2 linked regions of the Macaca mulatta genome follow. The protein of the gene in region 2 interacts with the protein of the main gene of each other region in a pairwise test. Links are inferred from orthologs where the notes say so. Each region holds a gene or a part of one and is shown on either strand. Other genes may lie near its edges.

Region 1 (2,554 bases), on a different chromosome or scaffold from region 2:
GAGCCCTGCGTTTCTCATCCCGAGTCGTCCGGGGAGCTTCTGACTTCCTGACAACAGAGCCCAGGGTGGCCAGAGTAAGAAGACAAAAGTACATGATTGGAGTTTGGGGTTAAGGAATTATACAAGATTTAGCAGGTACTAGGACCACTTATGGGTAGCTGGGTGTGTTGTCTCACACCTGTAATCCCAGCATTTTGGGAGGCCGAGGCAGGCGGATTGAGGTCAGGAGTTCGAGACCAGCCTGGCCAACATGATGAAACCCTGTCTCTACTAAAGATACAAAAATTAGGCCGGGCGCGGTGGCTCAAGCCTGTAATCCCAGCACTTTGGGAGGCCGAGACGGGTGGATGACGAGGTCAGGAGATTGAGACCATTCTGGCTAACATGGTGAAACCCCGTCTCTATTAAAAAATACACACACAAAAAAAAACCTAGCCGGGTGAGTTGGCGGGCGCCTGTAATCCCAGCTACGCGGGAGGCTGAGGCAGGATAATGGCGTAAACCCGGGAGGCGAAGCTTGCAGTGAGCTGAGATCCGGCCACTGCACTCCAGCCCGGGCGACAGAGCGAGACTCCGTCTCAAAAAAAAAAACCAAAAACAGATACAAAAATTAGCCAGGGGTGGTGGTACACATCTGTAGTTCCAGCTACTTGGGAAGCTGAGGCATGAGAAACACTTGAACCCTGGAGGCAGATGTTGTGTGAGCTGAGATCACGCCACTGCACTCCAGCCTGGGTGACAGAGCAAGACTCTGTCTCAGAAAAAAACAAAAAAAACAAAAAAAAACACTTATGAAATTTGAGAAGAAACAAGTGTCACTCACGGGGAATAAGGGTGAGTCCTAGGGGCAATTGAGCGCTGGCTTCCTCCCTGCAGTACTTCTTGTGGTGACATCATCACAAAGAATTGACCTGTGAAGATGCAGGGTAGGTTCTGTCAGGACATGGGTAGGAACCTCACCAAGCCCTGAGGTGAAGACCCTGGGCCCCTCCTCTAAAAAGAACATGTTAATAGAAGAGCAGCCCCGGACTCACTGCCTGCCCAGATCTTAATGATCACTAAGAGTCATGAGTGAAGGCTCACTGCCTACCAGTCATGTCTCACAGCCTATTCTAGCCCTTTCAGCCAGCATCCTCATGCAGTATCTCACCAGTGCCAGGAGGGGTCGCCTGCCCCAGCAGTGCCTCTGAGCCCTGGGTAGTAACAACAGCAGCTGTACTCCCCGATGTGGTACCCCCTGCCCCATCTCCCACTGCCGTGCTGGGGAAGTAAGTATAGTGCGTCTCAGCAGCTGTCCCCTCCGTGTCAACTGCATCATCACTGGTGAAAGCACCCTGGATCACCGCCTGAGAGAGAGAGAGAGAGAGAGAAACATCCAGGAAAGGAGAGCCTAGTGCTTTGGGACAAGGCAGCCCTAGACGCCTCACTGTTCCTAGCTTCACCCCCATCCTACTAATACCCTTCTTCATCTTACTTCTCAGAACTCTAGTCACCTCCCCAGCCCATACCCTGTACCTGGGTCATGGATTGAGTGGCAGGGTAGCCACTGATGGCACCAGTTCCCTCAGTTTGGCCATCCAGCTGCCCCTCAGACACCTGGATCACCCTGTACATCACCTAGAAGTGTAGAGGAAGGCAGAGCAAGGGAAAGAGAGAATAAAAGATTAAGTGTTGGGAATCCTAGGGCCCCTCATAAAGCTTCCCTTGGATAGGGCCCCAAAACAAAGTCCTTCAGAGACACGGATTGAGCCATTCTCCCTTCTCTCCCCACACAGAGGTTTCAGCATACACCTAACCTCACACCAGTCTCTACTCCAGTATCAGCACCCCCCTCCCCTGAAACAGTCCACTCTTTCAACTCATCCTCCAAGCCAGGTCTCCCCAAGACATGTTCAATTACCTCCCTCAATCCCAATCCCAAATAACACCTGCAGCCACCTGGCCCCCTCCCTTACCTGGCCCCCATTCTCAGTTCGGAAGACGTACTTGACGTTGGGGTCAGGGAAGGTGGCAGCTGACTGGATGCTGGCAATAGCCACACTGGTTGGGTCTTCCCCAGTAGCCACTGCACCTGAATTAAAAGAACAAAAGAAAAGTCTGTGAGTTAACTGCCTTTCTATCCCCGTTCCACGTGCATGTCACTGAAGGAGGAGGATGCACAGGAGATGGTCTGGTGGGGGAGGAAGGGAGGCCATGATGGGTTCTTAGTCTTGGTTCCGTCTCTAGCACTCACCTTCCTGAATCTGCACTGTCCCCTCTTCCGTTTCAGCTGTTTTCTGCTGCCTGTTTGTGGTGAAAGGACAAAAGGAAGAGTATGGGAAGAAGTCAATGAGAAGCTCACCGGCCCAGTAACATATGGCTGCAAACTCATTGGCATTCCCAACAGAAGCTGAGTTAGGTTAGAATAACAACTAGTGTTTGCTGTTTACTATGTACATAAGCACTAAGCTAAGTACATCACATGTACTCTTATTTAATATTAAAAACAACACCATGAGATAGATAGCACTACTTCCATTTTATAGATGAAGAAACCAAATCACACAGTAAGTGA
Region 2 (3,819 bases):
ACCTCCATCTACTGGATTCGAGTGATTCTCATGCCTCAGCCTCCCAAGTAGCTGGGATTACAGGCATATACCACCACACCTGGCTAATTTTTGTATTTTTAGTAGAGATGAGGTTTCACCATATTGGCCGGGCTGGTCTTGAACTCCTAACCTCAGGTGATCCACCCTCCTCAGCCTCCCAAAGTGCTGAGATTACAGGCATGAGCCACTGTGCTTGGCCTTTTTTTTTTTTTTTTGTAGTGATGGGGTCTCGCTATGTTGCCCGGGCTGGTCTGGAACTCCTGGGCTCAAGGGATCCTCCTGCACTGGCCTCCTAGAAAGCTTGGATTACCAGCAGGAGCCACCACACCTGGCCTCTTTTTTTTTTTTTTTAACATAGATTTTTTTTTTTTTTTTTGAGACAGAGTTTCACTCTTGTTGCCCAGGCTGGAGTGCAATGGTGTGATCTTGGCTCACCGCAACCTCCACCTCCCAGGTTCAAGCGATTATCCTGTCTCAGCCTCCCTAGTAGCTGGAGCTGGGATTACAGGCATGTGCCACCGCGCCCAGCTAATTTTTTTGTATTTTTAATAGAGACGGCGTTTCTCCATGTTGGTCAGACTGGTCTCAAACTCCTGACCTCAGGTGATCCCCCTCCTTGGCCTCCCAAAGTGCTGGGATTACAGGTGTGAGCCACCGCACCCGGCCTGTTGTTGTTGTTTTTTGTTTGTTTTTGTTTTTGAGACGGAGTCTTGCTCTGTCGCCCAGGCTGGAGTGCAGTGGCGCGATCTCAGCTCACTGCAAGCTCTGCCTCCTGGGTTCACACCATTCTCCTGCCTCAGCCTCCCGAGTAGCTGGGACTACAGGCGCCCACCACCACGCCCGGCTTTTTGTATTTTTTAGTAGAGACGGGGTTTCACCATGTTAGCCAGGACGGTCTTGATCTCCTGACCTCATGACCTGCCTGCCTCGGCCTCCCAAAGTGCTGGGATTACAGGCGTGAGCCACCACACCTGGCCTTAAACATAGATTCTTAACCCAACTTTCCATGAAAAACTGAAGCCCACGGAGGATAACTTGCTTATGGTTCCAGAGTAGGACTTAGAACCCATAGAACCCACTCACTCTATTCCACATTGAGTGACAGGCCAGATGAGAGAGACCATTTCGCCAAAAGGATCCAACTCACAGCTCACAGCCCTACCTGGAGAGCCCAGGATCAAAGGGTCACCCGCAGAACCAGGCTGAAGGAAGGATGCACAAGAGGGTTTACCCCTGGCCCGCTTCTGTGGCTCACACCACAGTCCCTCCTCACCACAAAGGCCAGACATCCTGTTCTGGGAAACCTATCCCTGGCTATCTCTCATCTTTCCCAGGGCCCTAACCTCTCTCCCCATCCTCTACCTGCCAACCAAGCTTTTTAAACTCATCCCCTGTAGTCTCCCACACCAAAATGCCCACGGAGAGGAAAGAGAGCCACTCCTTTAAAGACTCACCATCTCTTATTCACTTATTTTGGTAAGGGCCTTGAGGAGCCAAGAATTCTCAATTCCCTCTACTTTGAGCCTTCTGTTAGCTCCCAGTGAGACAGAGTGGCTTGGTGATTAGTTTTGGGGATTTTATTTTATTTTGTTTTTTTCGGTAGAGACAGGGGCTCTCTACGTTGCCCAGCCTAGTCTTTAACTCCTGGCCTCAAGTGATCCTCCTGCCTAGGTCTCTCAAAGTGCTGGGATTACAGGCATGAGCTACTGCACCTGGCCTTGGTTTGGTGGTTAGGATCTGACTTCAGAGCTGGATGGACCTGGAGCCAAGGCCAGTTCTGTGCCATTACTCACTACTTGTGTGATCTTGGGCAAGTGACTACCCCTCTGTGCCTTCATTTCCTTGGTGGAAGATGGGGAAAACCAGGGTACATACCCCAGATAGATTTCTTGAGGATTAAATGAGACAGGGAAACTGAGACTGAGGGAGTAGCTGAAGGGAACCCTCTTGTTCCTGTTCTCTCCCAGACAACATAAGTATCCCCTCTATGCATGCTGGTAGGTGGAGACCCCCTCACCATTACATGTGCGCACGTTACATGCTCTTGCCTCCACCTCCATCCTTGCTCCTGCCATCCCTCTCTACCTGGAATGTCCTTTCCTTCCTCTGTGCCTCTGCCAGTCCTACCCATCCTTCTAGGCTAATATGCCACCTTTTCCAGGAAGCTTCTGTGATCCAGAAGTGACTGTTGTATCCTCTGGGCCTCCCGTGGGGCTCCTATCGCTTTCAGCCTTGGGCAGTAGTCACCTATAGCCTACCTTACTCTCTCCTAACCCTATGTTCTCCTTTCTGGTAGGAGCTTCTCTGCACCCAGCACTCCTGGGTGGAGTCGGAGCCACTGCGATGCCTCTGTGCCTTACCTGTTCACAAGGTCTTCGACGCACCCCTGGAGGCGGCCCCAGGGCCCGAATGACTCCTGGCCGGGGTTGTGGGGGGCTGTACTGAGGGTAGGTCAGAGGCCTGGGGTAACTGCTGGGCCCCAGGAAATGAGGCTGTACCATCCACTGCAGCTCCTGACTGCCACTCATGGTGTTGATGCTTGGCACGAGGTGGAACTTCTAAGGAATAAGAAATGGAAGGCCACAGATGAGGTCCATGTGGATTGAGGGGCTTCCACTGGGCAGAGGCTACACTGCTGTCTACCTTCAATGTACAGGCTAGCTCTGAGAACAGAAAGAACACAGCCTGGCAGTCAGAGACTGACCTAGTGGCAAATCCCTGCTCATAAGCTGTGTGGTTTTGGGCAGGTCACATAACCTTTCTGTGCCCCCGTTTCCCCATTAGAGCTAACATTTATAAAATATAAACTGCCAGGAACTGTTCTAACCACTTTACAAATACTGACTCATATCATTGGCACAGTAGTATCTTCATTTTCTTTTCTTTTTTCTTTTTTTTGAGATGGAGTCTCACTCTGTTGCCCAGGCTGGAGTGTAGTGGCATGATCTTGGCTCACTGCAACCTGTGCTTCCCAGGTTCGAGTGATCCTCCTGCCCCAGCCTCCCGAGTAGCTGGAATTACAGGTGTGCACCACCATGCCCGGCTAATTTTTGTATTTTTAGTAGAGACAGGGTTTTACCATGTTTGCCAGGCTGGTCTCCAACCCCCAACCTCAGGTGATCCACCCACCTTGGCCTCCCAAAGTGCTGGGATTACAGGCTTGAGCCACCACACCCAGCCTAGTATCTTCATTTTCAGACAGGAGAACAGTTGTCCACAGACACAGAGCCAGTGAGTAGGAAACAGTATTTGAGCCCAGCAGCTGGTCTTTTACCCACTCCTGCACCTGTTTGCACGAAGAGGATAATTACAGCTCCCATCTCACGGGGAGGCTGTGAGAATCAAGTGAGAGAATGTGTGCGACAGTCTGGTAAGTGGCAGGTGCCCAGTGCAGAGGGGCTGAGGCAGGAAAGAGTCACTGCTGTGGGTTCAGGCCATCCCAATGCTTTTTTTTTTGCTTTTTTTTTTTTTTTTTTGAGACGGAGTCTCGCTCTGTCACCCAGGCTGGAGTGCAGTGGCCGGATCTCAGCTCACTGCAAGCTCCGCCCCCCGGGTTCACGCCATTCTCCTGCCTCAGCCTCCCGAGTAGCTGGGACTATAGGCGCCCGCCACCTCGCCCGGCTAGTTTTTTGTATTTTTTTAGTAGAGACCGGGTTTCACCGTGTTAGCCAGGATGGTCTCGATCTCCTGACCTCGTGATCCGCCCGTCTCGGCCTCCCAAAGTGCTGGGATTACAGGCGTGAGCCACCGCGCCCGGCCTTTTTTTTTTTCTTGAGACAGACACTCACTCTGTTGCCC

The links.
Region 1: the proteins of FOSL1 (region 2) and USF1 interact in binary tests that used the Homo sapiens proteins (3 or more experiments, as listed by UniProt). The link is inferred for Macaca mulatta from reciprocal best matches to the Homo sapiens genes FOSL1 and USF1.

The regions. Positions count from the first base shown.
Region 1 is NC_133406.1:105,840,404-105,842,957, reverse strand, and holds part of USF1 (upstream stimulatory factor 1), read right to left. Parts: intron 2,284-2,554; coding exon 2,234-2,283; intron 2,072-2,233; coding exon 1,956-2,071; intron 1,618-1,955; coding exon 1,516-1,617; intron 1,347-1,515; coding exon 1,151-1,346; intron 912-1,150; coding exon 824-911; intron 48-823; coding exon 1-47.
Region 2 is NC_133419.1:8,525,422-8,529,240, reverse strand, and holds part of FOSL1 (fos-related antigen 1), read right to left. Parts: intron 2,580-3,819; coding exon 2,382-2,579; intron 1-2,381.